Alligator mississippiensis: one gene and its partners. The main gene of each other region encodes a partner of the protein of the gene in region 3 in a complex. Links are inferred from orthologs where the notes say so. Each region holds a gene or a part of one and is shown on either strand. Other genes may lie near its edges.

Region 1 (6,950 bases), on a different chromosome or scaffold from region 3:
CACTAACTTTTTCACAGAGCAAATGCCTTTCTCTACTCATACGAAACACGTGTGGTTACTAACCTAGGCCAGGAGTGTTTGCATTCCTGTCAAATTTTTACCCTCGTTAATTCAACTTTGGAAAAAGACTTTTACTATCCATGCCTACGTATAAATCCATCTCAGAAGCCCATGTCAGTCATTTATGCACAGCAGAGACATAAATACTACTTTCAAACACTACAAATTTCCTTAGGCATCAATTACCAACACCAGTGCCCAGATTCAGAGCAAGAGATGAACACTACAGCTTTCACTGGTACAAAGCTAGTGTCCAGGAGAAGAATAGGGTTTCATTTGCCCCTCCCTAAACAATCCTCAAATACTGCAGGTACATAAAAGGCAACATAAAATATTAGCTCTCCTGCTCATCATTCTTACTAGCTTCTATTCTCCCAAATTTTCAGTATTCTGAGCTGTAATTTTAAGCACACAATTTTTGTTTTATAAGTTTAATTTGTTTCATTTTAAGATCTGCTGTATAAAAAAGAACAAAGCTATTTTAGTATGCAATCTATGTCCTTTTAAAAGTAAGTTATTTTTAAAAAAGCAGCATTTTTATAGAAATTACCACACACTATGTTGCCTCTCTAGCTTCCTCAAACCAGCAAGCTGAGAGCTGTGCTGGGAACTGCAGCCTAGATGCCTCAATACCTGTAACCCACTGGTTCAGGGATGAGTACAGGAGTGGTGTGAATGAGCACTCAGGATAGCACAATGACCAGTTCTAGAACCACTTACATTTGAAATGGTCCAGTCCTTTGAGCTAAGTAACAAAACATACAAAAATGAGCAAAACGCTCTAGGTAATATTACCTACCCAGCATCTCCTGTTAGGTTAGGGGGTAATTTCAAACAACGGCCCTACTCTGCTCACTTTCCACACCCACACAGTGTGACCAGATTTCTCTGCCGTGCCTGCGCCTCCTTGCTCAGTAGCAGCCAATGCACTGTCTGATGCACTGATGACACCTCCGCCCCGCCAGAGGTACTGCAGACACCACATGCCTCAGCCTTTGCACTCACTTGGGAGTCTCTGTGGTCTCCAGGAGTTCCGAATACTGAGATGCGCAGTGCTAAGGAGAAACAGAGGGAGTCAGAGCACACAGAACAGTCAACACAGCCAATTCAGTTTATTGGCAAAGCTCTTGGGTTCCCTCCTCTAACAGCCAGGTAGCCTTTGAGCATGTTTTCATGTTTCCCATACTAGTACTGTAGCAGGAAAATACTGCCACAGTACTAGTATGGGAAGCTGCAGTGACTTCCCAAGCTGCTGTGTACCCAATGCATCTATAAGGAGGGTCAGCTAGCACCACAGAGTCAGCTCTGTAATGCCAAATAAAAACTAGGAAAGAATAAATTAAATTAAAAAGGTGGCCCCACAAATTAACACGTCCTCCCCTGGTTTTCCAAGATCCTGATCTTTGAACAGTCATACTCCAAAATATCAGTGCTAGTAATAGAACAGGTTGAATACAACATGATGCTTAAAATTACAAATCTAAACTATGATTTCAAATCAACAACCAAAAATCTTTGATTTAAATAATAAATTATAATCCCATTTTGCATTTATATCGTTTAGCTATTCGCACTGAATGAGCTGAATAAGTGAAATAGAAAAAACACCTCTTTTCATCTGCAGAAGACTTGTGCAACAGTTTGGCTGGCGCTGCAATAGACTCAAGGCCAGGTGCTCAGACAGTGACTTCCACAAATTTAGGGGTGTTGGACCTAGCCGCGTTGGTCTAAGGACACTGGAGGTCAAGGCTCGTTGGGTAAATCCAATATCACTCCACCCAGGAAGAGCACAGACCATCTGCGGATGCTTCCTCAGCCTGACAAAGGGTGTTTGTGCCCAAAAGCTGGCTTAGAAGAATGTTTCCAACTACTTGAGTTGGTCTGATGAGAGATATCGCATTTATCCAAAGACTCGTCTCCCACAAATTTAGCAATTTTGCTTTCTTTGAAGTTTGGTAGCATGCGTGTAATGTGTTAGCTCTGTCTAATACCCTTTTATCAAATTATATCAAGTTTAGACCATAAAACAATATACTTTGTTTTATTTTCACATATGCTTTCATATAAATTTTAGTTTTAGAGAAAAACGAAGCAAAGCTGTTTGACGTTTAAATTAAAAGTCTTATTTAACGTTTTAAGTGGCCACTTTTCTACCCCTCTACTTGGCCGAAACTGGAGTCCCTTGAGCAAGAGCTCCCCGGCAGCGGGAAGTGCCTCCGCCTCCCCCTTACCTTCTGAGAGAACCAGTCAGGTGGGCGGCCCGGCTCGGCAAAGGGCTTGATGGCCCTGCTGACTGACACCCTGCGGGGGAGAGAAGCGGGTGAAGCCCTGCCTCCTGCCCTCGCCAGCGCCCGCTCAAGCCACACCGGGCTGCTCCCGCCGAGCTGACGCCGCTGCGACGCCTGAACAGCTTCCCTGCTCGCGGCGGCGCCGCCTGGCCAGCGCCCAAGCGCAGCCCGAGCACGGCTGATGGCTCGTGCACCGGCCCGCGCAAACAGAGCCAGGATTCAAGTCCTGCTGAACGGCAGCGACAAGCCAGGCCCTCGCCTCGCTTGTCCCGCAGCCCGGCTCCGTCCCCGTCCCCATCCCCGCAGCCGGCACCACCGCGACGACGGCCCAACCCCCGCCGCGCCGCGGCTCTCACCAGTTCTGGTCGCCGCTCCGCATGACGGAGGAGGCCAGGCACAGCTTCTCGCGGACGGACCACGGCTCCGTGGGGCCGGCGCTCAGCAGCTTGTGCTCTGCGGGGACGGACGGGCCTCTCAGGGGCGGGCGGGCAGGGCCTGCCCCCCCTCGGCTCCCCCAGCCCCGCCCGCCAACTCCCCGCTCCGCCCCGGGCCGCCCCGGCCCGTCCCCGGCCCCACGGCACTCACTGCCCGTGCCCGCCGCCATCTTCGCCGCCAGGCCCGGGCCAGAGGCGGGGCCCACCGCAAAGGTCGCCGGGAAGCGGCGCGCGGGCTGCCGGGAAGGCTGCCCGGCCCCGCCCCCAGCCTCTCTCTGGCCGGCGGCTCGGAGCGCGCGCTGATTGGCCGGCGGCTCGGAGCGCGCGCTGATTGGCCGGCGGCTCGGAGCGCGCGGTTTGAAACCACAGCACCCGCTGCTGCCCCCGAGGTCAGCGTGGCCCGGCCCGGGCCGGGGGGAGGGGGCGGCTTCACTGCCTCAGCGCAGCCTGAAGGACGGCCGGCCGGCCGGCCGGGGGCCGAGGAGGCTGTTGCCGACCGACCCGCCCGCCCTCCCGCCCGCTCTCTCTCGCAGGCCCCGCCATGGCGCAGGCCGCGCTGTCGCCGCTCGCTCCCGCGCTGTTCTCGGACGAGGAGGCCGCGTCGTCCCCGGTGCTCGAGTCTACGGCGGCCGAGCTGGGCCGGGCCGCGCGCCGGGACCTGCTCTCCGACTTCTCCGCCATCTGGCCCGCCGCGGCGGGCGGCCCGCAGGTGAGGGGGGCGGGGCCGGGGCCGGGCGGCGCTCGCGGGCCTCACCCGGGGCCGTGTGTGACCCCCGCTCTCCGCAGGCGGACCCCGAGGACGGTGCCAGGCTGAGGGTGCACCTGCGGGTCCGGCCTCTGACGCCGGCCGAGCTGGAGAAGCGGGAGGACCAGGTGAGGCGGGGGCGGCGGCTTTGGGGGGGGAGGGCCCCCGCCCCCCGCCCCCCGCCCCGGCTGAGGCTCCGCACTCCTCAGGGCTGCGTCTGCATCGAGAGCCCGGAGACGCTGCTCCTGCGGGCGCCCGCGGACTCCTTCGCCATGCGCAGCACGGAGCGCGGCGTGGGCCAGGCGGCGCACAGGTTCACCTTCACGCAGGTAGGTGGGTGCCCGTGGGCGCGGCGCGGCACGGCGGCCCTGCCGTTCACGCAGCTTTGCGCTGACGGCACCGGGGCCGCCCGCACCAGCCCCTGGTGTCTCCCTTCCCCCGCCCCGTCCCTGCGTCCGTCTGCTGCGCGTTGTCTCGTGCTCGCGGAGCAGGAGCCCTCGTCTTGCTGTCTGTCCGGTCGGCGCCCGGCGCAGCTGGCCCCCGGGCACGTCTAGCGCTCCTAGGATTATGTGGATGGAGCAGCCTGGGCCGGCTCTGCCGGGGTTCGGGTGGGGTCGGAGGTGGGTGGCAGTCCAGGACGAGCAGGGCTGCAGCAGGCCGGAGAGGGAAGTCCCGCGCACGCCCCTGTGATCATGTTTGCAGATCTTCGGCCCAGACGTCGGACAAAAGACGTTCTTTGACGCGACCATGAAGGAGCTGGTGCAGGATGTGCTGAACGGGCAAAACTGGCTGGTTTATACCTATGGCATCACCAACTCGGGGAAGACTCACACCATCCAGGGTGAGCGAGGCATCAGGTGTTGGCATACCTGGTCTCCTCGGAGGGAAGAAGTGCTGCTGTGTTGTGACTGAGCTCTGCTCACTGCTGTCCTCTCCTCCAGGGAGCAGCAAGGACGGTGGGATTCTGCCCCGCTCCCTAGCACTCATCTTCAATAGCGTGGGAGAGCAGCTCTACCGAGCCATGGATCTCAAGCCCTCGCTCTCCAGCGAGGTGGCCTGGCTAGACAGCCGGCAGGTTCAACAAGAAGAGACCAAGAAGCTGGCCTTGCTGCACGGGGGATTACGGGAGGTGAGTGCTCTTCTCCGTCCGCTGGGGAAGGACGAGGGTGCCCTGCACCAGCCTCACGTTCTGCCTGTTTCCTAGGAGCTGCTGACTCCACTGAAGAGGAGCCACAACACCGAGTCCCAGCTCCAGGCTGCCACTAGCAGCAGTTATGACAGTGGAGTGGGTGGCCTCTCGTCTACCAGCCAATTTGCCAACCACTCCGAGAGCAGCCAGCTGGACAGTATGTCTGGGACCCTACTGTGCCGGGGGAAGGGCAAGTCCTGGGTAGGAGGGGATGAAGCACACTTTGGGCAGGGGTAGAAACTCTCCCTTGTCTCCTCCAATCTGCTGGGGCTGCTGCAATCCCTACCACCCCCTCTGATTCTCCTCTGAAACCTAGGGTCTCGCTGGGCTGATCCAGACTGTGTCTCGCTCCATGCCTCGGGAGACGTGCAGTTCTCCATATGGGTCTCCTTTTTTGAGATTTACAACGAACAGATCTACGACTTGCTAGAGCCGGCTCTGCCTGGCCCGAACCGCAAGAGGCAGACGCTGCGGCTGTGTGAAGACCCGAGCGGCAATCCCTATGTCAAAGGTAGAAACTGACCCAGCAGCACTCTGGGGAAGGACCCTGCTGGATCATTCTCTCTCCTTCAGGAGACAGTAGTAACCTGGGGTGGATAAGAGAAATGTCGAGTGGCCAGGAGCGCCCATGGAAAGCAAGCAGTAGTAGGGGGAGGGATACTGCTCTAGGGCAGCAGCTCTCAACCTTTTTTGTACCAGGACCCATTTGTGAACATCAGCGGCCAGTCCTGCCCCAGTGCCTCTCACTCTTGACCTGCTAGGCCCCAGCCCCCCTGTGTGTGGGTTATGGGGGGCGGAAGGGGGGTGGGGCATGGTGGGAGAGACCCAAACAGCTCCTCATAGGTTGAAACTCTGCAAGGGAAAAGCCACAATTTCCTGCATTTTTCTTGTGGGAAAAGGAGAATCCATTTTTTAAGTCTGTTTGTGACCCTTTTGAGATATTCTTGTGATCCACTTTTGGGTCTCGACCCATGGGTTGAGAAACGCTGCCCTAGGGCATTTTTATACACAGTCAGCAGTTCCCTTCTGCTGAACTTGGGCTGGTATCCCTCAGGAGGCCCAAACAATGCAGGGAAGTTCAGCTTGGCTGTTGGCAGCAGTGAAGCCTAGGATGCGGTAGGTAGCCAGGGCCTGGGAAGGCAAACCACGTCTATCTGTACCACTTTCCCACCTGTCTGCTCTTTCAGATCTGAACTGGATCCACGTCCAAGATGCCGACGAGGCCTGGAAGCTCCTGAAGCTGGGTCAGAAAAACCAGAGCTTTGCCAGCACTCACCTGAACCAGAACTCCAGCCGCAGGTTGGGGGCAGGGAGAGGAGAGGAATGGTCTCCAGCAGGTTGTGGCGGGGAGGGCTCATTTTATGGAACTAGGTGCTGGACTGGTGCCAGAGGTGGTCGTTGCATGTTCCATTCAAGTGTATTTTTTTTTTTTTGTCCTTGCTCCCTGCAGTCACAGCATCTTCTCCATCCGGATTCTTCACCTAACAGGGGGCAGCAGTGAGATGATCCCCAAAATCAGCGAGTGAGTGCTTGGGGATGATCCTGCCATGAGCAAGAGGGGGTTGGACCAGTGACCACCTGAGGGCCCTGCTAGCCTGGCTCTGATTCTCAGATTGCATGAGCTCTCCAGGCCATGGTGCTGTTATGGATCTTTGGGGGCCTTCAGAAGGTGGAACTCACTGCGGGGGTGGAGAGCAGCTGTTGTGCATGTGTCCCACTGCTCCCTTTGGAGAGAGCAACAAAGCTGCTCTGGGAAGCACAAAAACATCCTGCATCAGCATGAGCATGGCTGACTGACCCCATCCCTGCGTCCAAGGAGGCCCTCATGACAGCTGCTGCTGAGCAGCTTAACACTCATGTCTGGGATGCAGCAAGCTGGACATACTTGCTGGATCCGTGCTTGGAAAGCAGCACCCAACAGGGAATTTCTGGGTGAGCTTGGGCCCCTGACCTGAGCTTGGTAGTGTTGTTTGAAACAAACCTCCTAGAAGAGATGGCTGAGCTGTCCTGAGGCTCGAGTGGGTGCATGACAACACATGGACTGTAATCACAGCAGTGCCCTGGGTCTCTTCCAGACTGTCCCTGTGTGACCTTGCTGGCTCAGAGCGTTGCAAGGACCAGAAGAGCGGGGACCGAATGAAGGAGGCAAACAACATCAACACCTCTCTGCACACGCTAGGCCGCTGCATTGCTGCCCTGCGCCAGAACCAGCAGTCCAAGTGAGTAGCTTGGGG
Region 2 (7,489 bases), on a different chromosome or scaffold from region 3:
ATGGTATACTTTGAAATGGTGTACATTGAAATAACCCATACATTGAAATGGTGGGGCATAAAACAAAACCCTGAGGACTAAACGGTTTCAATTTGCCATCACATTACGGCACCTTTTTTTCTTGGAGCCAGAGCCTGCCTGCAGAGGGGAGGCAAGCTGGTAGCGGGCTGAGTGGTCCCTGAGCTGCAGGGGGGGGCACCCTGGTCCTTCCCTCCATGGTGGCAGCACCCCCCAGGGCTGCCTGGGCAGGCTGCTAGCAGGCCTGGTGCTGCCCCAGCTCGGAGGCAGCACCTGGCCTGGTCCAACTGTTCCCTGAGCCTGCCCAGGAAGCAGCGACCGGTGGGCTTCTAGCTTGGGGAACCGTTGAATTGGGCTGGGTGCTGCCTCTGAGTTGGGGCAGCACCCAGCCCACCTGGGAGGCCCCGGAGGGCACTGCTGCTGTAGAGGGAAGGACCAGGCCCCCTTGCAGCTCGGGGGCTGCTCAGCCTGCTGACAGCTTGCCCCCCAGCCATGGGCAGGCCCCAACGTTTCTCCCTTCAGCAGGCATCTACTGAAGGGAGAAACGGTGAGGAGCCTGATCCTTTTTTTCAGTGGAGCCTGCCTACCTCTTCCATGGCCCGGGGCAAGCTGCTGACACAGCGGTGGCCCAGGTGGTCACCCATTCTCCCCAAAGCTCAGGGGCTACTTAGCCCACTGGCAGCTCCTCTGGGGGAAAAAAAAAAAAAGGATCAGGCCCCTCGCCGCTTCTATCTTCAGTAGGTGCCTGCTGAAGGAAGAAGCAGCAAGGGGCCCAATCCTTTTTTCCTGCAGAGGCTGCCTGCAGCCAGTGACCGAGCTAACAGCTGCATCACTGCAATTTGCAAAGCTGCAAACTAAATTACATCTGGACAAAGTTTAGGTTGCAATGATACAGTCATTTAAACCCCCCAAACGTCTTGCATGTGTACACCGTGATGCTATTAAGCCACACAAAGTAACATTTTCGTCATGTGTACGTGTTAATGTCATCACATGTAGAAGCACCCTAGGAGCCAGTACTTAATTCCTCTCACAGGGGAGCACCCTGGTTGAGAATCCACATCACCCTGGTTGAGAATTACTAACCAGTACTGTCAGTGCCTCACAAATTTTTGACTCACTTTCCAAGTGACCCATATTTCACAATTGAAATCTAGGTCCTCTGAGTGCTGCACAGACATAGTCACTGGGAGACTTTCTATTTCAGATGGCTATGGTATGAGTAACAAATGCATCATTTCTCAATTTTAGCAAGAAAAAGCAAATGAGAACTTAGTGCCAGAGGTTCCTGGTCCTTCTGCTAAAGAACCTCTTGAAAAAGATACCAGTAATTTAATTTTCTGAATAGCAGGAAAACTATAGTATTACAATGATTTTTGAGCCATACAAAAATACCATACCATACAGAAAAGCCACAAGCTCCTGAGACCAGTGTTCTTAACTTTTTTAGACTCAAGGAACCCCTTGAAAATGTCTGCAGTTACTTAGTTCTCACTCAGTCCTTCCCTACCAAAAAATAACCTATTATTTATTGCTCTTTCTGCTGCAAAGAACCTGGAAAAACCACAACAGGTCAGAATGTTTTTAACACTCTGGTTTGCCATTTGAAATCTCTGGGTTTATCTTGTGAAGCATGTTTGCAAACCTAACAGTGGTAACATTATGTGGCCATGACACCTGTGAAAGGATCTCAAGGCACCCCAGGGTGCCTCAACATCCTAGTTGTGAATCCCTCATGAGGGCAGTTGTGGAGGTAAGGATTTTAAAATAGGTATTAGTTCAAAAATACAAAAAAACTCTCTTTCAATTCACATATTATACTGCTTTTATTTCTACTGTTTCTTAGCTAAAAACAAGCAGTATAGCACACTGAGATTAAATACTTTTTCCTACATGGTAAATTTTTGGCACAGATGTTTGTTTATTGCTACTTTTTAATTTGCTTTAGGTTGTGAATAACAAAGTAGGAAAAGTAAGATGAGCAGTGTATCCTCTTTGTATGATAATTAAATTAAGAAATTGTGAATTTATAAGGAAGCAGCTAGAGAGGGATCTACTTTTTGCCATTGTTAGGAGACAAAGTACTAAGAAAGATTGCTTAAGATATTCGGACTCTCTTTATAGTAATAATCACTACCAAAATGACTGCTCTCTTTCTATACTCTTACTGATCCTCAAACAGCAACCTATTTTGATTCTGCCGTAACTGAATCATAGAAAATTTGGGTTGGAAGGGACCTCAGGAGGTCATCTAGTTCAACCCCCTGCTCACAGCAGGACCATTCCCAACTAGATCATCCCAGCCAAGGCTTTGTCTAGCTGGATCTTAAAAACCTCCAAGGATGAAGGATGGAGAGTCCACAACCTCTCTGGGTAACCTGTCCCAGTGCTTCACCACCCTCCTCATGAAAAAGTTTTTCCTAATATCCAAACTAAACTTCCCTTGCTGCAACTTCAGATCATTGCTCCTTGTTCTGTCATCTGCCGCCACTGAGAACAGTTTAGCTCCATCCTCTCTGTAACTGCCCTTCAGATAGTTGAAGGCTGGTTGGTATTAAACTGCTGTCTCGGAACAGCTCTCCCCTAATTTCCCTGCCTGTAATTTGTTCAGAACAGAAATCCTGAATTTCAGAACTGTAGTCGCATCATTTTGGAATCTTATTTCGTCCAATATCACGGCTATCGTGAAAGTTATTTTTAAAAGGATAATAATATTCGGTAAATGTTTTTCAGTAACTTAAGAACCAAGACATTTTCTGCTTGGGGTGGAAGTTATTTTTCCTGAGATATAGCTGTTATTGGCAAAACACTAGAATTTGGGGCAAAAAAAATGTTTTAATTGACCCTGTGCGTACCTGCATGTTACAGGTTATAGCATGTTCTGCACTTCCTTGCGACTGCAAGGAACATGAGGACAATTCACATTTAAACCCAAAGAGCCAATCTTTCCACTGTGGCACGTTATTTACATTTTCTCTGCTTCCATTAATGGAATAAAAGAGTTGCATTTTATTAGCTCACCCTTTTACTTAGCTGCCAGGTATCTTGTTTGCAGCACAGTCTCACATCAGTGGACTTTGTTGAGATCATTCTATAAATTTTTAAATTTATATTGGTAACAGTATTGCACAGGTCCAAGTTAAAATTTAGAAGAAAAGCATTGAATACATTATAGCAGAGGCTTGCATACCAATAGGTCAGGCTGCAGCCTTACTAGCTTTGATGCCCGTACAAAGGGATTCACCTGCTTACAGCAAATTGTAGGGGTTATGTATTTCCACTTGAAAAAGGCTAACCAATTTTTTTTTCCCATTAGAAATATTGTCCAATTAAATAAACCTTCTTGTTCTAATAGTTCAAATAAAAGTCGAACTGTGTCAAAAGTTTTCAATATGTTCTCTTGAATAGAAAACCAGCACAAATATTCAAACATATTTAACAGTGAATTATAATCCCAGTTGTTAGATTCCTTATTTGGGACCTAGATAAACCAAATTACTTTGTTGTTCTGGAAAATCTTGGCTTTTTATGCAATTAAGAAAATATTTTTAGTTAATGAACACTTGCATTTAAAAGCTCAGGGTAAAAGCTATCATTTAATGCTGTACTAAAACTTAAATCAGGAAAGCACAAATTAATAGAATATTTTTCAGTTCACCTCCTTTATTTAAATATCGGTCAGAGAGAAGCGGGAGGCCGCACGCTTGTCTGAAATGAATGGTGACTACAGCTCGTGTTGTATTTCCACACACACTGAGTGACCCGCCCGCCCCACAGGTAAAACGAGACCTCTCCCAGGGATGCTGTGAAGCCCTCGGAGAGCCTCGGGAAGCCAGGCAGACCACAGCGCCGAGAGGGCTAGCGGAGGAGGCTCCAGACCTGCCTGGAAGACTCCTTTAAACCCAGCAGTAACATTTATTTTAATGCTTTGAATGTAATGCGTTATTACTGGAGGGATACGGTCAGGTTCATTTTCTTCCTCTCCCCCTGTCACAAATGGCGCATCGGCTTCTCAAGACGCTTCGCGGCTCACCTGTCCGCCAGGACACCCAGAGGTAAGAGCGGGACCGGGGACCCCGCCGCGGCCGGCCCGGGCGAGCAGCTGCCGCTGGAAGCCCCTGTCACTATCCCTGACCCTGGTGGGCCTGCGCCGGGGATGCCGCGGCTGTGGCGGGAGGGTCCCGGGTGCTGGCCGCGCGGGGCAGGGTCGGTGCAGCCCGACCCGCCTCGCCTCACATTTGTGGCCGCGGGGAGCGCGGGTGGCTGCGGCGGCGCCTCCCTGCCTTGCCCCGCGCTCAGGTGCGCGCGGCTCTGCCTCCCGGCGGCTGCGTGAGGGGCGCAGCGCCGCGGAGCCCCCGGGACACCCCGCCGGCTCGGCTCGGCTCGGGCCGGCCCGGCTCGTGCCCGCGCTCGGCGTGGCCGCGCGGCGCGCCCTCCTCCCCCGGGCGGCGCCGCGCCCGCGCCCTGCGCGATGCAGTGTGGGAATGGCCGTGGCGCTGGGGTTGGCTGAACGCGGCGGCCAGTCGAGGTTTCATGTCCGCCATGTTGGCCGTGGCGTATTGAGCGGAGCCGGAGCGGCGGCGGCGGAGGAGGAGACGAGCCAGCGCCCGGCCCAGCCGGCGCCGCCGGGCCCCGCGTCGGAGCGCGCCCCGCCCCGCCCCGCCGGGGGAGCCCCGTCCCTCCATGAGAGCGCTCGGCGGGGCCGGCTCCGCGCAGCAGCAGCAGCAGCAACAGCAGCGCCCCGCCGCGCCCGCGCCCCCCCGCCCCGCGCCAGCCGCCGCCATCGCCGCCCGACATGAGCAAACTGTCGTTCCGGGCCCGGGCGCTGGACGCGTCGAAGCCGCTGCCCGTCTTCCGCTGCGAGGACCTGCCCGACCTGGCCGAGTATGCCTCCATCAACCGCGCCGTGCCGCAGATGCCCACGGGCATGGAGAAGGAAGAGGAGTCGGTACGTGCTCCCCCCCACCCCGCGGCCGGGCCCCGCCATCCCTCCACCCTGCCTTCGCTGGGCCGGGCCCCCTCCTTCGCCTCTGCGCAAGCACAAAATGGCCGCCATCTTCTCCCCGCTCTCCCCGCCCGCGGGGCGCGGGGGAGGCAGGGCCCTGCCGCGGGGGGGGCAGCGCCGGCCGCTCGCCCCGTCCCCCGGGCCCGGCCGCGGCGGCCCCCGATCCCGCCCCGGCCGCGGCCGCCGGAGGGGCTCGCGCGGGCCCCGAAAGGCACAAAGGGGGTCACGTGACGCAGCGGGCGGCCGCCATTTTGTTGTCTGCGCTCCCTCCTCGGGCTGGGCCGGGCCGGGGCCGGGCTGCTGCCGCCGGGTGGCGCCGCCGAGCCGCGCGCGGGAGCAGGGCCCGAGATCCCACGTGGGGCAGCGGGCCCGGCCCGGCCCGGCCGCCCCTTGCGCCGCCGCCGCGTTACATAAGGGGTTGTGCCGCTCGCCGGCTTGGAGCTTCCTGGCGCAGCGCGGGGACGAGGTGCCGGCTGCCTCGCGCCGCGGCTCGACCGGAGCTTTCCACGTGTGAAGTGTGAAAGGGTCGTTGGCAACCCTCGGGATGGGGGGCGTGTTTGACTTTTCCCTGTGCGTTTGACAGCTCTTGTCGCTTTGGGTTCCCCCGGGACAGTGATTCCTCTCCTTCGCAGGAGGGGTTTGGGCCCCGACAAGGGGGTGCCTTCCTCCCCCACACGGGCAGCAGGACTGTGAACCCTGGAAGTGGCCCGTGGATTAGGGCTGCAGCTCACGCTTGCTACAAACTTCTGAATTTTAGTAGATTTTAAGTTGACAGGGCTGGTTTCAAGTGGTGGTCTGGGATGACGCTCTTGCTTGTGCTGCTGGCTCCTGATGCTCATTCAGTCCCTGTAAACTTGAAGGAAGTTCACCTTGGTTTTTAGGTGCCGCGTTCTGCACGCGCTGCTGTGCATTGACAGTTTCAAAAACTGACTGTGGACGTCTATGCAATGACTCTTAGTTTCTGAAAGAGCTGTGAAATGCCAGTTCTTTCTTATCTCTTCTTTGCTAGAATTATTTTCTCAAAGTTACAGTTTGAGGATTTATACTGTCGCATTTCCAGATCATATACAAACATTAATTATCGTTATTATCTCTTACTAAAACATCTTATCTTGAATGTAAGAAACATTTACTGAAAATGTTTGACACTGATGCTTCGTGGACGCTTCTTTTAGTAAAAGCCATTATTCAATTTTGCATTGAGTGGTTTTCACCGACTCAGATTAACTTTTGTGCATTAAGAATGGTTGGATACTGTGGGTGGCTTCAGTCATGTAGCTTTGCTTGAATCCAGATCTTCAGAATTTGATGGGTGAGGTAATCATCTTGATTTCCACTTGCATTAAAATTTAAGTAAAACAAGTTTTTATTATGATTACCATAGTAATTGGTCTGTCACATGTACTTTAATTGAAGTGTATATGATCAGTAAACTTTCATCTTTTGTCTGTCTTTTTTGCTGTAAGCTTAACAGATGTGAGCCTTTTGGGTAGAAAACTATTGTATTATGTTGTATTTAGGCTCAGGTGGGCTCACGCAAGGTTACCAGGTAGCCACTATCATAAACTTTACTGTTTGTAAAGAATCTGCTGCTATTTTAATTCTGATGTGATGAAGCATGGATTTTGCAAATAAGTTTGTTTTACACGTCTCTAAAATAAATGGCTAACTAGCAGTTTTAACAAAAATACCAATCTGTATGTGCTTCTGTTCTTAAAAGTGTTGTACTGAAGAAAGGTTACTTGTCACTGACAAATGCATCTGGTTAAACCCATTTAGAATTTCAGGGCCTTCTTAATAAATCAGTTGGTGTCCACTTTTTTTTCCTCTTCTTCCTGTTCCCTCCCTCTTAAAACTCTCTGCTACTTTTCTTTCCTGTGGTTATCTTTCTTTCAAAAAAACCCCAAACCATTTAGAGCATGCAGTCCCGGACTAGAGGCAAGACAATTCTGTGGACTGTTTCATTGTTTTTCCAAATTCCATAGGGGGGAATATCCACTTTATGTTGTGGAAAAGAGGGCATAAGTGAAATTGTGTGTATGTGCACATTTCTTCACCATTGACCACTGTGAACAATCACCTGTGGTGATATGCTAATAGTACTTTAACATCACTTCAAGTATGTGCTTTAATTTAAAAATCTGATTTTTTTTTTTTTTAAGAGTACCCTGTTTTCTGAAGGTGATTCATTTTTTTTTTTTTTTATTTTTTTTTTTTCTCCAGGGAAAGCAAAGAGACTTGATGTTCAAGCACTGCCTTTCAAGAACATTTAAATGCCCGTTTCATAGTTCTTGATGCACATTTCTCCGCTTACTTTTATCTGCCCCACCCCACCAAATAATTAGGGAAAGTAGGACTAATTTTATTAATAGCATGCGACTCTAGCAAAATGTTCTGAATGCATGGAGACAAAAATTACTAATCTTTCAGGATTAGTAATCAGGACCTGCATGCCTTTTTCCAGGT
Region 3 (7,943 bases):
ATGCCACCAATGTGATGCTGTAGCTGGCAGAGCTAACCAAATGCTGGCATGCATCTACTGTGGCATCTTGAGCAAGGCAAAGGATGTTATCCTCCCACTCTACTTGGCCATGGTGAGACCACAACTGGAGAACTGTGTCCAGTTCTGATGCCACACTTCAAGAAGGATGTGGAGAAGCTTGAGAGAGTCCAGAGAATGGCCGCATGCATGACTAGAGGCCTGGAGAACAAGACGTATGAGAAGAGGCTGAGGGACTTGGGATTGTTCAGCTTGAAGAAGAGAAGACTCAGAGGGGACTGGTTGCAGCCTATAAGTATATCAGGGGCATACATCAGGGTTTGGGGGAGCATCTATTCACCAAGGCTCCTCAGGGAAGGACAAGAAATAATGGGCATAAACTGATTGAAGAGTGCTGCAGGCTCAACATAAGGAAAAACTTCTTTACAACCTGAGCATCCAGGGTTTGGAACAGGCTCCCCCCAGAAGTGGTAGTCATCCACCATGGCAATCTTCAAAAAACGTCTTGATGCCCACTTTCCTGTCCATGTGCAGGGAGGGTGGACCTGATGATCTGCAAGGTCCCTTTCAGCCCCTAGCAACTATGAAACTATGAAACTATAAGCATCTCTTAATGGGGGAGGCCACTGATAAACTCATTTCTTGGGGCAAATAAAAAGAAAAACAAGAAGGGGAGTGAGTTTATTGGTTAATAACAAGGGATCCAGAAGGGGACACCAAGCAGAGCACCCCAGCCAGTGCCCACTGCCCCCTTAATGAGTCAAGGAAGCCTGTGGATGCCAACCAGTTAAAATGCCAAGAGATGTGAGCAGAGGAGTGACAGGAAGACAGCCCCACACTCACTTAGGTTTCCCCCAGCCAGAGCCTTCTTCTTGGTCTTGTATATGGCCAGCTTGGCCAGAGCCAGGAGGAAGTTGACCAAGATATCCCAGAGCTTAGTGGGGCCATGGACACAGAGTGCATAACAAAAAATGCAGCCAGAACCTCAGCAGGAGGTTCTAAAGGAGGCGGAAGAGGGGCTGCAACCTGGCACACTCGAGGTAGGCATGTGCCCGGGTCTCCCTCTGCTGGCAAAAGGGGCAGGTGTCAGGGGTGTCTGTAAAGTGCACCAAATACATGGTGATGGCTCCATGGAGAAGCTGCCAACTGAGGTCCCCGGTGACTTACGGGATCAAGGTGGAATACAGACTTGTCCACTGAGGACCCTCAGCCCTGCCCGTGCCATCACCTAGAGTGTCCCACCACTTGTTGTCAGGGCAGGACATGAGGACACGACGATGGATTGAGCACAGCATGACCATGTAAAGCTGGCAGCAGTCAGTTGTTTGTACGTGGACTGGCTTGATATCCCCCAGACTGCTACAATAGTTGGGTGGTGGGTGTTGTGGACTCTGCTGAGGCAGTGCCCCAAAACTAGCTCCAGAGTGCTGGGGGATGGGGACTGCCCTCATACAGGACCTGTCAATACAGGTGAAGGCAGTGGGTGGTAGTGCAGCCTCTACCTCCTGGAATAAGCGAAAGGGAGCACAGAGTGTGGGTAGCTCTATGCACTGGGCCAGCGCAGAAGGATCTGCCCACCCCTGCCTAGCATAGTGCAGAAGGTAGAATTATAGAAAGTTAGGGTTGGAAGGGACCTCAGGTCATCTAGTCCAACACTCTGCTCAAGCGGGATCAGCCCCAACTAGATCATTCCAGCCAAAGCTTTGTCTAGCTGGGGTATGGGAACCCCCAAAGATGGAGTTTCCACCACTTCTCTGGGTAACCCATTCCAGTGTTTTACTACCCTCTTAGTGAGAAAATTCTTCCTAATATCTAACCTAAATGTCCCTTGCTGCAACCTGAGACTTGCTTCTTGTTCTGTCTTCTGCCACCCCTGAGAATAGTCTAGGTCCATCCTCTTTCAAACCCCACTTCAGGTAGTTGAAGACTGCTATTACGTCTCCTTCAGTCTCCTTCTCTAGATTAAATAAGCTCAGTTCCCCCAATCTTTCCTCATAAATCATGTCCCCCAGCCCTCTCACCATTTTTGTCACCCTCCACTGGACTCTCCAATTTGTCTGCATCCAGGAGAGCAGATTTAGGTTAGACATCAGGAAAAACTTCTTTACTGTCAGGATTGCCAGAAACTAGAATGAGCTTCCAAGGGAGGCGGTGCTCTCCCCTACCTTGGGGGTCTTTAAGAGGAGGCTAGACATGCACCTGGCTGGGGTCATCTGACCCCAGCACTCTTTTGTGCCCAGGGCAGGGGGTTGGACTCAATGACCTGCTAACATCCCTTCCGACCCAAACATATATGAATCCTTTCTGTAGTGGGGGGCCCAAAACTGAACACAGTACTCCAGATGTGGCCTCAGCCATGCTGAACAGAGGGGAATAATCATTTCCCTTGACCTACTGGCAATACACCTACCAGTGCAGCCCAGTATGCTGTTAGCCTTCTTGGCAATGAGGGCACACTGCTGACTCATATTCAGCTTATTGTCCACTGTAATCCCCAGGTCCTTTTCTGCAGAGCTGCTGCCCAACCAGGCAGCCCCCAGCCTATACTAGTGCACAGGATTGTTTCATCCTAAATGCAGGATTTTGCACTCGTCCTTGCTGAACCTCATGAGATTCCTTTTGGCTCAATCCTCCAATTTGTCTATTTCACTCTGAATCCTAGCCCTACCCTCTAGCATATCTACTACTCCCTGCAGCTTGATGACATCTGCAAATTTGCTGAGGGTGCACTCTATGCCATCTTCCAGGTCATTGACGAAGACATTGAACAAAACTGGCCCCACCCAAGGTCTCCAATATGAGTGATGTTGGCCAGGACCATCCTCCAGTGCACCCAGGGCACCTCTGTCACCAGCACCATCAGCTGTAGGTTTTTCAGCAGCGGCTCAGTGAGGAGGTCAATGGTCTGGGTGACTGTGTCTGGGGACCCAGATCAACAGCCTCCAGGCCCTAAGGAGGTACTGGGAGAAGTCTGGCAGCTATTCCAGGTCCTGCTTGGGGAGATCTCACAGGGAGAAGAGCTGTCAGTCACACCAGTACCCTCAGAGGTGGTGGAGGAAAACGCAGCTGATCAGGCACCACATTGCCTGGCTATTTGCACTGTACAGCAGCCTCCTCAAGGCCTGAATACAGGTGTGGACCTGGTTGCAGAGGCAGACCAGGCCATTCATGTCCTCCTGCATGGGGAGGCTCAGGATACCTCCAGAGAACCAGTGATGTCCCAGCCAGAAGAAACCTAGTACCTATCTCTGGAGACTGGCCAGGAGATCTGGGGGCATGGCCAGGGTGTTGAAACGATGCCAAAGAACGAACAGGACTAGCTGGTTGAGGATTAGTGTCCTCCCATGAAGGGAGAGACACTGTAACAGTCCTGCCCATGCCTGCAGCTGCTCAAACACCCTGACCTCCAGCTTGTGTCAGTTCTCCAGCTTGTGCCTCCAACTTGTGTCAGCTCTCCAGATGGAGCAGCGAGCCCACACTCTGTTGGATGTACTGCAGCGCAGGTGGGAGCAAGCTCACCTGCCACCTGTCACTCACTATCAGACCAGAGCTCTTGACCCAGTTGACCCAGACAGAGGCGGCAGCTGAGTAGGTGGATCTGCAGGTCTCCAGATGCACCAGGTCACCCGGGTCTTGGACGGTGAGGCTTATGTTGGTGGCATATGGTGACAGAACCACTCGCATGGCCAGCTCCTTGAGCACCAGCACTACCACCTGCTTGTGCAGGAGGCAGAGGAACAGCTCAAAGGAAATGACATAGAGCTGGGCTGGCAGTGGACAACCTTGATGCTCTCCCAGCTGTGGACTCTGTCAGTGTCCTATCGAGCCTGACCATACACTCTGTGAAGGCATACAGCACCTGGGGAAACTGCACGAAGTGGAGACCAGAGCCAAATGTCCTCAGCGTGCCTGTGAGGTATCTGTGATCCACCCTGTCAAACACCTTCTCCTGATCAAGGGAAAGGAGGACAAATGACAGGCTGTCCCTGCGAGCAAGCTCAAGGAGGTCTCACACCAGGTACTGGCTGTCGAAGATGGAGCACCCTGCAACCGTATATCTGGTTGAGGTGAATCACATCTGCCTGCACAGACTCAGGCACAGCAAGATGACTTTTGCTATGACCTTAGTCAGAAGAGGGGAGCGAGACTGGGTGCCAGTTCCTCAGGTCACAGGAGTCCCCCTTGTTGGACAGCAGCATCAGGGCAGCCCTCCTGCACGACAGGATGAAGACGGCAGTTCTTATGTTGTAAGTGGACAGAAACAAAGCCCCACTTCTGTTCTTCCTTTAGTTGCTAACACCAAGCTCCAGAAAGGGGCTGGATTTGGCATCCACATGGCATCGCCTACTGGGACCATTGCTGGGTCAGGTCAATACCTCAGCTCTTCACTCAGTTTGAAGAGGGAGAGGAGCAGCAGGATGATTAGTTTCCCAGTGCCAAGGATAAACCATCATGAAAACACAGTGAGGAATTAAAAAAAAAAAATCAAAGAAGGCAACAACCACACAGCAAAGGCCCTTCCAGGGGACGGGAGCCAGGAAGGCAGGTTTACCACCCCTGCTGCATACAGCAGCTGAGCCTGGGAACCAAAGTGACTGCTTGGGGACAGAAGAGAGGGACTCTCAGTCACTGCCACTGAAAGCTGCATGGACCTTCCCTGACCTCACTTCCCCTCCAGCCAACAGGACACAGAGCGATCACCACGGCTGAGACAACACCCTCTAACACCCCGCGGAACCTTCCTCCCCGGCCACCCGTGCAGAGCCTTTTGAACGTCGCACAAGCGGAAGTGGATGGGCGGGTTCTAAAGAAAAGCAACCCCGCGCTGTGACAGACACGAGCAAGCCCCAATTAGCAGCTGCGCTGGCGCAGAGGGACCCAATGGCGGCGCGGGGGGCGGGGCCGGGGCCGTGGCGCCGGCCGCCTAGGTAACGCGCAGGCCGCGTGGGAACCGCTGCTGCCGCTGCTGTCTCCGCCGTCGCCATGAAGATCGAGGAGGTGAAGAGCACGTCGAAGACGCAGCGCATCGCAGCGCACAGCCATGTCAAGGGGCTCGGCCTGGACGACAGCGGCGCCGCCAAGCCCGCGAGCGCCGGGCTCGTGGGGCAGGAGAACGCGCGCGAGGTCCGCGACCCCCGCCCCTCCCCCGCGGGATGCACCCTGCCCCTCCCCCACCCCGTGCGATGAACCCCTCCCTGTTCCTCCCCCGTGGGACGGACCCCCCCCCCCCGCCACACGTCCCCCCCCCCCGCTCCCCGCTGCCCCCAGGCAACATGGTGAGCTCTGGGGCAGCCCCCTCCTCTGCCCTGGCCTCAGTTTCCCTGTCCCTGCAATAACACCCGTGCTGCCTCTCTGCGTTCTACGCATTTGAAGGCACGTTTCTGACCGGCTGGTAACTACGGACATGTCTTCCTTTTTTCAGGCCTGCGGTGTGATAGTGGAATTGATCAAAAGCAAGAAGATGGCCGGCAGAGCCGTGCTGTTGGCAGGACCGCCCGGCACTGGCAAGGTATCGTTTTGCTTGGGGCCAAAAGGCTTCCCCGCCGCGACTGTTTCTGAGGCACCGTTTCACCAGGCAGCTTCCCCGGCAGTCATGTTGGACTGGAACCAGGGTGGCCTTTGCGGCTGATCACTGCTTGACATCACATCTCCCTGCGATACGTATTTTGGCAGAAACCAATAGTTCATCTAGGTATCAGCCGCATAACACTAATGCAGGAAAATGACGGTATCATAGTCTTATGAAGTCTGTTTTTTTTGGAGGAAGCCCCAGGATTGGGGTTTTAAAAGTATTAACTTTTTTTGCACTACTTAAGGTTTAAGCATTTTCATGAGAGATGGTAAAATGATTTCTCCGCACTATCCGGAGTTTTAAAATTCTTCGTGTTGGTGCTCTTAAGTTTCTTGGGTAAAAACCCGTGTGTGTGTGTGCGTGTGTATATGCACAGGTTTGTTTCTGCATGTAAGAAACAAGGGAGAAAAGCTTGAGGATTTTTATTTTTAAGAAGAATTAAGGGTTTCTGGTCTCTCCATCTCCCCGTCCATTTTCTCACTTGTTGGATTCCTATTTTGTTAGAGATTTGGGGCATTGAATTAGGTTTATCAGAAAGTAGAACTGGAAGGGACCTCATGAGGTTATCTAGTCCATCCCCCTGCTCAAGGGAAGATCATTTCCATGTAAACCATTCCAGTGTCCATCTAACCTGCTCGTGACAATTTCTAGGGACAGCAATGCCTCTCTCAGTGGCCTGTTTCCAATGCTTAACCATCCTCATAGTGAGGAAGCTGTTCCAAATCTCCAGCCTAAATTTCCTCCATGAGCTTTCAATGTTTAGAAAACATCTGGAGAGCCTTTCAGTTGCAGATCTTGAGAAGTGGAGTATTGCTATCCACCTTCTGACCATATTAAAGTAAGTAAGGATGATCATTCCCAACTCCCCTGCCCCTGTGCTCTAGCACAGAGAAGTATGCAAACGTCAGCAGGCATGGTTCATGGGGTGAATTGATTTACCCCCTACTTCAGTTTTAGAAAGGATGCTTGGTATTTTCCTCCACCTGTAAAAATGGAATGCTGTGAAGATTAAAATAGTATTTATTCTTAACTTTGTGGAGCAGTAATCTTTTTTTTCCATAAGTTCTTGTTACTTCTTCTGAAAATATATGTGTATGATCTTCAAATGTTTTGAATTTTTATAGACTGCTTTGGCGCTGGCTATTGCTCAAGAATTGGGAAGTAAGGTTCCCTTTTGTCCTATGGTTGGAAGCGAGGTCTACTCAACTGAGATAAAAAAGACAGAAGTCCTGATGGAAAACTTCAGAAGGGCGATTGGTAAGTACTTGTTAAAAACCATGAGGGAGGGTAAAGTGGCTGTTTGGCTTTTCCGAAAAGAAAGCAGAAAATACCAGCTCTTTGGAGCAGTCCTGTTGAGCAGGCCCCACTGTCATGTTCTGATTTTTATAATTCTCTTTTTAGCACTGTTGGACATTCTTACCAGCTTAGTTGAATCAGGATGCTTTTCTGATAATTCCACATCTCCCCACCTTAGTTATTCCAGCTGAGTCTTCTTTCACTCTTCTCTTTCCATGCCCTCCAGGATCTTTTCTCAATCTTGTAAGTGGCTGTTGAACAAACCTGGAAGAAACTTTCTTTACAGTCTTGGCACTGACCTAGGCTCTGCAGGAGGGTTTTGTAGAAAGGGAGATGCTCTTTTCTCTTTCCCTTTAATATTCTCAGTTCATGCTTGTCAAAAACTCAAACGTAAGCATCCCACACTTAGCCTGGCTTCTTATTCCAGATGAGCATAAGAGACTGGTCTAAGCCACAAAAATGAGTATTGGATTCAGTTAACTTCCTTTTCAGTTCTAGTATGCTTTTTCTACTTAAGATGTTCTGTTTCAATTTATCTGGAAGAACAAAGTTAAGTTGGCAGTACAGCCTCATTGAGTATCTAAAATCTTTTATGATTGCTGCTGACAGCTGATAAAAGTCCATCAGAAGTGGTCCGTGCATGCACATGGATTGTACGGAGATAGCCTAATTGTTTTTAGTATTGAACACATTACCAGTTAACTTTCCTGTTTTCGTATCATGATTTGCTATGGACTTCAACTAGGTATCTAGTGGTGGGAAGGTGAAGACATCTCTCTCTCTTTCTCTCCCCCTGTCTACCTGTATGCAGCAACCAAACAAAAGTGACCTATTGATTTCTGTAAGAAAGCGACTTTCTATAGTGTGCAGTGTTAAAGTTACTGTTAAGTTGCTAGGGCTTGGGGGAGGGGAGTTAGGGACAGAGAGAGAGCAGTCTGCAGTATTTCCTTGACGTGATGAAGTTCCCTGTCAGAGACTTGGAAATTTGAACCAGCAAATGAAATCTGTGTCATCCACGTTGTCATTCCATAGAGATAGCAATAATTTAACTCTCTAG
Region 4 (6,810 bases), on a different chromosome or scaffold from region 3:
CAGCACTGAGGGCTCCTTGTGCCCAGGAAGAGGCTTCCAAGCCTGGTACTGTGCCCTGGATGCAGCCCAGGGGCTCTGTCCTGTGGAGAAAGGGGGAGGGGGGGGAGGTGGGTTCCAGGCTGAGGCCCACCAGTGTGGCTGCTTCACTACCTCCAGGGTGTGGGATGCTGCCCACTGGCACTGAGGCCCCATCTGGCTGGCAGCACGGTGCAGGAGCTGTGCTGCTGGGTGCTTGCATTGGGGGTGGCTGCGTTCCCCTGAAGTCGGGCAGAGAGAGGGCAGGGCAAGGTGGAGGCAGCTGTCATGGGGAACAACCGACTTGGCCTAGGAATGGGCCAGGCCCGGAGCACCTGACAAAGTAGGTTGTTGTTGCCTTTGAAAGCTCCTGCCTCTGACCTGGTCTGACTCTTGGGTCTCTTGCTGGTGGTGGCTCTGGCCTGGGGAGCTGGGCTTGCTGCTTGCACACAGCTGTGCCAGCAGAGCCCTCCTATAACAAACAGCCCCAACTCTGGGCAACCTGCAAGGTGGTGATGATTGCTTTGCTCCCCGCAACCCCTGCCCAGCTCCACTGTGCTGCATAACAGGAGCTTTGTTCTCATCATCCCAACCCAGGTGGGGCTGAGCTCTCCAAATCTGCACTCAGGCCAAGCCAAGCTGGCCCTCCCTGGGGGCCTCAGACATAGTTTTAGGACTGGCTCAGACCCATTTTACAGATGAGGAAAGTAATTCCCCTGCATGTGAGCTTGGGTTGCATTTGAGCAAAGCCTTTAGGCCCAGGCTGGTGCAGCTGCTGCCTTGAGTCCTCCAACCCCCTCCCAGTAGGATGTTCCTGTTCCTCTGCTGCAGGCAGCATCTGAGCCATGGCTTTTACTGGCCAAGTGCCATGGTCCCTTTTACATGTGGAACAATTCACGTGCCAGCCCCTTCCCTGGCCAGGGAGTGCTGCCCTGGAGCTTGCACCATAAGACATGGCCAGGCTACAGCGCAGAGAAGAAAAGCTCACACCCATCCTGGACAGCTGCTCTGCTGGGACTTGAAGCAGGACCTGCCTGGTGCTCATGTGAAGGGGGGGGGGGTGAGCTGAGCCCTCCATGCCTGGAGAACTACACGTGCTTGATGGCAACTGTCCTGAGGCCTGCACCGCAACCAGGCGAGTGGCGCAGTCAGCAGCCAGAGCAGCCATTTCCTCACTCTTCGCATTTATTTTGTGGCTGTGAGGGGAAGGCAGCTCACCTAGGCCTAGTCTTGCGCCTGGGCCCTGTGCAAGGGCCATCCTGGCTGCTGGGGCAGCCACACTTGCTCCCTGCTCGGGGCAGGCTGAGGCAGCTATATGGCTGTCCTTTGCTGGAGCCTGGTGCCTGTTGGCAGTGGGAAAGGGGGGTGCAAGCCAGCTAGGCCCCCCCTAACTCCCTAGTTACTCCACCGAGGGAAACCTGATGGGCACAACCCACTCATGAACTAGCTAGTGATAGGTGGGGGCTCCTCCTGCTTCTCCTCTGTGCTGTCTCCAGGCTGGCAGGGGTCCGCCTCAGTTTCGACAGCCTCGTGGAGCAGCGGGGCCTTCTTCAGGATGCCGACACTGCCGTAGAGTTCGGGCCGGCGGTGAGCCCAGAGGGGCATCTCCTGGCGCAGGCGGTGCAGGTAGGGAAGGTCGATCTCGGCGTAGCACAGCCCTGGCCCCTCCTGGCACTGGGCAATGACACGGCCCCAGGGGTCCACCACCATGGTGTGGCCGTAGGATGAGCGATGCTCGTTGTGCTTCCCTGTCTGCGCTGCTGCAACCACGTAGCACTGGGTCTCTATGGCGCGGGCCCGGAGCAGCACCTGCAAGGGGCAGGGCTGGCCTGAGCCGCGGCGGGACTCCAGAGGGCCTGAAAACCAAGCGAGGGCACCTCTCCCCAGGCCAGGGAGGGGCTGTCAGCACTGGGAAACCCTCCCAGACCTGCCCACACAGTTGGGTGCTCCTTGGTGCCAGCCAGCCTGGGACAGCAGCATGCCTAGAGCCATGGGGAATGCCCCTGACCAGGCCCCAGAACTTGTTCTGCAGCCTCCTCCTCCAGGGCTGGGACTTTGCACCCAGACAAAGGGCATCTCCTCTGCTCTTGGGACTCGTGTTCCAATGAAAGCTGCGGAGAAACCAGCTCTGGAGCTGTTCCACATTTCCAAGCAGTAATGTAGTTGTCTGGATGTTGTTATGGCATGATTGTTCCTTTGCATGTGTGGCCTGCCTTAAGTTTATGGCATGATTCACCAGTTACCTGCATTATGTAATGTACGGCAGGGGCCTTGACGAGCTGCTACTGCCCCAAGGGGGAAGGGAAGCAGGGACTGCAGGATGGCTGATGTGGAGCTCTCAGCGCTGCAGCCCAGGACCTGCCATTGGGTGCAAACTGTGTGGGGAGTCCCTGGCCGGCACCAGTGCAGCCTGGCAGGGGTGCGGGTCTCACCTCCCAGTGGGCAGGCCCCGTGGTCTCGGTGAAGGCTGACGGGAAGGTGAGGATCTCGGCTCCCTCCCGGGCCAGTGCCAGGGAGATTTCAGGGAAGCGCAGATCGTAGCAGATGGCGAGGCCAACCTGGGGCAGGGGGGCAAGAAGATATCCCCACATGATGCAGAACAAGCCCCCAGCAACCCCATGGGGAGCCCAGCCCTGTGTCTGATGAGTCTGGGCCAGCCCTGGGTCCCCTCCCTGTAAGATGCTCAGCCCTGGGGCACTTGGGGAGGGAGGATGGGGTTTATGGTGGGGGCTGCTTGGGGTAAGAAGCTTTGGCCGGGGCAAAGTGGGGCCAGCCCAGCTCCCAGGCATGCAGCAGGTGCAAGGGAAAGGGATGAGATGGCCCCATAGGGAAACCTACTGCTGGTTGCGTGGGGTGAGGAGCACCCTAGCACCTGGCATGATTGGCCCTGGGGTCCCAGCCCCCCCCCCGTCCTTGGGGACTGAGCCCCTGGAGCAGCAGGGTGGGGGAGCCCCGTCGGGGCTCTGAGCTGCTGTCCTGAGCCCACGTGCCCAGCCTGGGCAGAAGCAGGGCTCCGCGGCGCGGGGCTGACGCTGCTCTTGGCCGCGCTCGGGCTGAAGCCGGGTCCCAGCTCCGCCGCTCGGGCTCCCCCTGCTCGGCCGTACCTTGCCCACGGACGTGCTGACCGGGGGCGCGATGTCGGAGCCCGGGTGGGTGTAGCTGCTCTCCTGCAGCGAGACGCGCCCCGCCAGCTCCACGTCGAAGAGGTGGATCTTCCTGTAGGCGGCCGCCATGGAGCCTGCAACGAGACGGGGGTCGAGGGGAGCCCGGGCGGGGGGGGCAGGGAGCGGAAAGCAGAGCGGTGGATGGGGGGGAGCAGACAGCAGAGCGGGGGTGGGGGGTGTCACAGACCGTCGGGCCCGATGAGCAGGTGGCAGTTGTAGGCGCGCCCCGCGCTGTCGCTGTGGCCGTGGCCGTGGCCCGGGCGGAGCTCGCGGAAGCCGCCGAGGGAGAGCCAGACGCGGCAGGCGCGGGCGAGGCGGGCGCAGCGCCGCACCAGGGCCCCGCGCAGCGGCTCGGCCGGGCCGGGCTGCCCGGGCGGCCCCAGCGCGGCGAAGGCCTCGGGCAGGCAGACGAGCCCCGCGCCGCGCGCCGCCGCCTCCCGCACCAGGCGCTCGCAGGCCGCCGCGTTACGCTCCGCGTCGTCCGTGGCCGTCAGCTGCACCGCCGCCACCAGCCTGCGCGGCCCGGGCCCGGGGGCCGCCATGGAGCCGGCGCCGCGCCGGGGGGGCCGCAGCAGCTCGCGGGACGCGGCCGGGGCCAGGCCCCAGCGACCTCCGGGCACCGGCGGCCGCGCCTGCTGCGGGCGCCCGCGACAAAGATGGCGCCCTAGGGGGGGCTTCAGCGCGACGCGCCCCTCACAAACATGGCGCCCCAGGGAGGGTTGCAAATAAACTCTCTTCAGGAGAAAGTAGCGCGACGTGCCCCCAACAAACATGGCGCCTGGGGGAGGGGCTTCAAGTTGGCTCAGGAACAGGCCGCGCGATGTGCCCCCAACAAGCATGGCGCCTGACGGGGATTTCGGTAGGCGTTGCTCCTGCGAAGACGGCGCGACGTGCCCCCAACAAAGATGGCGTCTGAAGGGGGTTGGGCACTTCGAGTAAATTCCAGAGAAAATAACGCGACGTGCCCCCAGCAAACATGGCGCCTGAGGGGGGATTTCGGTCGGCTTCGTTCCTGGGGGAAAACAATACAATGTGCCCCCAAGAAAGATGGCGACAGAGGAGCCGGGGGTGGGGCTTCAGTAAACTGTTCTCCGGGGGGGCGGTGCGATGCGTCCTCAACGAAGATGGCGCCTCAGGGGGCTGGGATTCAGAAACTCGGGAAAGCCGGCGCGATGTGCCCTTAACAAAGATGGTGTCTTTTTGGTTGTTCGTTTGTTTGTGTGTTTCCGGCGGGACGGCTCACGCCCCGGAAGTGGGAGCAGTGTAGCGCATGCGCAGAACGGGCGAGGAAATGGCGGATAGCGGGAAGGCTCGGCCTGGCCCGGCGTCTCCTGCTGCTGGCAAAACCTTGACGGCGGAGCAGGTGCCGGGCGGGGCGGGCAGAGCCACCGCACACGGCAGGGGGGCGGAGCTGGGCGCGTGCGGGGCAGGGTGTCGCACCCACGCGTAGGGCAGAGCGAGCACGTGCCGGACTGGACCGCTGTCGCTATGTGGGGTGCAGCGCTGGGTGGGACCACTGTTCGCATTGCGGGGGAGGGGACAGCGGGACCACTGTCCCAATGGGGGAGGGGGGGGCAGCACCGGGCGGGACCATTGTCCCTATGCGGGGGCAGCGCCGGGCCGGACCACAGTCCCTAATGGGGGGGAGGAGGCAGCGCCGGGCTGGACCACAGCCCATGTTGGGCGGGGGGGCAGCGCCGGGGGGGGACCACAGTCCGTATTGGGGGGGCAGCGCCGGGTGGGACCACAGTCCGTATTGGGGGGGCAGCGCCGGGTGGGACCACAGTCCGTATGGGGGGGGGGCAGCGCCGGGTGGGACCACAGTCCGTATGGGGGGGGGGCAGCGCCGGGTGGGACCACAGTCCGTATTGGGGGGGCAGCGCCGGGTGGGACCACAGTCCGTATGGGGGGGGGCAGCGCCGGGTGGGACCACAGTCCGTATGGGGGGGGGCAGCGCCGGGTGGGACCACAGTCCGTATGGGGGGGGGGCAGCGCCGCGTGGGACCACAGTCCGTATGGGGGGGGGGGCAGCGCCGGGTGGGACCACAGTCCGTATGGGGGGGGGGCAGCGCCGGGTGGGACCACAGTCCGTATGGGGGGGGGCAGCGCCAGGCGGGAGCACTGTCCAGCTGGGCGGGGGCGGCAGTGGGGCCGGCAGTGCCCCGGTGACATGTCCCCCCGCAGGTGGTGGCCGGCTTCAACCGGCTGCGACAGGAGCAGCGGGGCCTGGCCTCCAAGGCGGCGGAGCTGGAGATGGAGCTGAACGAGCACAGGTGGGCGCGGGGGGCGAGCGGGGTGTCCTTGGTGGCACGCAGGGCCGGGGGGCGCGTCACAGCCGCGGGACCTCACCCCCCGCACCCCCCTGTCCCGGCAGCCTGGTGATCGAGACGCTGCGCGAGGTGGACCCCACGCGGCGGTGCTACCGCATGGTGGGCGGCGTGCTGGTGGAGCGCACCGTCAAGGAGGTGCTGCCCGCGCTGGAGAGCAACAAGGAGCAGGTGGGAGACGCCGCCAGCCTCGCCGCGCTGGCACGGGGGGCAGGGGCTCACGGCTGGGCGGAGCCGGGATCCCCAGGGCTCGGCCCACGCACGTGGCCCCTCGCCGCCCTGCCCGATGCGCCAGGCAGGTCCTCGCCTCCCCCACGGCGCGTGTATCGTGCCCACGGCAGCCCCCAGCCGGCACGTCCTGATCCCCCGGGCTCTGCGTCGGGCCGTGCTGGGTCCTGCCACGTGCCCCCGCCCCGACTCCTCATCCTCCTCTCTCCGCCCGGCAGATCAACAAGATCATCGAGACGCTGAACCAGCAGCTGCAGACGAAGGGCCGGGAGCTGAACGAGTTCCGGGAGAAGCACAACATCCGCCTCATGGGCGAGGACGACCAGAAGCAGCCGCCGAAGGACAGCGCGGAGGGCAGTGGGCCCAAGGCCAGCTCTGCCGGCGTCCTGGTCTCCTAGGCGGCTCGCCCCATGCCCTGCCCCCTTCCCCAAGGACTGTCCACCCCCTTCCGGGGCCCTGGTTCTCTCCGCCCCCACCCAGCTTAACTTTATTACTTTGGCGTCTCATGTTGTATTTTTGTTAAATAAATTTGTTTTTGGTCGTGAGCTCAGTGCACAAGTGGTGGAAGGGGGGCTGGGGGTGTAGTTGGGGCAGGAGCTCGTCTGCCCCAGAGGGGACCCCTAGGTCCCCTCTGGTTCAATGCCAGCATAAGCCCTATGCGCACAGGGGCCCACGTCCTCATGGAAGGGAGGGCCCGGCTTGTCCGTCCGTCCATCCCGCAGGAGGGATTCAGGGTTCATCTCCTCCAGGGACTCTAGAGGCTCGGCTGGGCAAGGCCAAGCAGGAGAGGCCCCAGGCCTCGAAGCCAAGCGTGGAGAACGGCATTGCCGTCGGCCTCCCCACCATCACCGTGCCACGGAGAGGGGCAGTGAGGCGGGCACCGGGTGGTACCCCACAGAGGACAGAAAGGGGACAGATCCTGTTACACGGGGCCCTTTTATTTCCCATGCACCATGCCTGAGCCAAGGGCAGGCTGCACAGCTTGCAAGAGGAAGGCGGGTTGTCTGGGCCACACAGAGGATGCTGAGGAGATGGTGAGCGCTCTCTGCTCACTCGGGGACGTCCAGGACACAGAC

The links.
Region 1: RUVBL1 (region 3) and BRD8 share a complex: the UniProt entries of both Homo sapiens proteins name them as parts of the nuA4-related complex. The link is inferred for Alligator mississippiensis from reciprocal best matches to the Homo sapiens genes RUVBL1 and BRD8.
Region 2: RUVBL1 (region 3) and EPC1 share a complex: the UniProt entries of both Homo sapiens proteins name them as parts of the nuA4-related complex. The link is inferred for Alligator mississippiensis from reciprocal best matches to the Homo sapiens genes RUVBL1 and EPC1.
Region 4: RUVBL1 (region 3) and PFDN2 share a complex: the UniProt entries of both Homo sapiens proteins name them as parts of the PAQosome complex. The link is inferred for Alligator mississippiensis from reciprocal best matches to the Homo sapiens genes RUVBL1 and PFDN2.

The regions. Positions count from the first base shown.
Region 1 is NC_081832.1:79,523,604-79,530,553, forward strand, and holds the start of BRD8 (bromodomain-containing protein 8), read right to left. Parts: upstream 3,022-6,950; 5' UTR 2,953-3,021; coding exon 2,934-2,952; intron 2,802-2,933; coding exon 2,705-2,801; intron 2,362-2,704; coding exon 2,292-2,361; intron 1,116-2,291; coding exon 1,066-1,115; intron 1-1,065. Other genes in the region: kinesin-like protein KIF20A, read left to right, coding at 3,324-3,491, 3,569-3,655, 3,737-3,856, 4,230-4,368, 4,469-4,656, 4,732-4,873, 5,033-5,227, 5,904-6,015 and 2 more. UniProt on the Homo sapiens protein: May act as a coactivator during transcriptional activation by hormone-activated nuclear receptors (NR). Isoform 2 stimulates transcriptional activation by AR/DHTR, ESR1/NR3A1, RXRA/NR2B1 and THRB/ERBA2.
Region 2 is NC_081828.1:193,084,985-193,092,473, reverse strand, and holds the start of EPC1 (enhancer of polycomb homolog 1), read left to right. Parts: upstream 1-4,487; 5' UTR 4,488-4,813; coding exon 4,814-4,966; intron 4,967-7,489. UniProt on the Homo sapiens protein: Component of the NuA4 histone acetyltransferase (HAT) complex, a multiprotein complex involved in transcriptional activation of select genes principally by acetylation of nucleosomal histones H4 and H2A.
Region 3 is NC_081835.1:19,184,472-19,192,414, reverse strand, and holds the start of RUVBL1 (ruvB-like 1), read left to right. Parts: upstream 1-4,921; 5' UTR 4,922-5,001; coding exon 5,002-5,142; intron 5,143-5,440; coding exon 5,441-5,527; intron 5,528-6,714; coding exon 6,715-6,847; intron 6,848-7,943. UniProt on the Homo sapiens protein: Possesses single-stranded DNA-stimulated ATPase and ATP-dependent DNA helicase (3' to 5') activity; hexamerization is thought to be critical for ATP hydrolysis and adjacent subunits in the ring-like structure contribute to the ATPase activity.
Region 4 is NC_081838.1:20,597,478-20,604,287, forward strand, and holds PFDN2 (prefoldin subunit 2), read left to right. Parts: upstream 1-4,432; 5' UTR 4,433-4,449; coding exon 4,450-4,542; intron 4,543-5,363; coding exon 5,364-5,452; intron 5,453-5,553; coding exon 5,554-5,677; intron 5,678-5,952; coding exon 5,953-6,132; 3' UTR 6,133-6,279; downstream 6,280-6,810. Other genes in the region: NIT1 (deaminated glutathione amidase), read right to left, coding at 1,459-1,824, 2,448-2,573, 3,120-3,253, 3,367-4,018; KLHDC9 (kelch domain-containing protein 9), read right to left, coding at 6,784-6,810. UniProt on the Homo sapiens protein: Binds specifically to cytosolic chaperonin (c-CPN) and transfers target proteins to it. Binds to nascent polypeptide chain and promotes folding in an environment in which there are many competing pathways for nonnative proteins.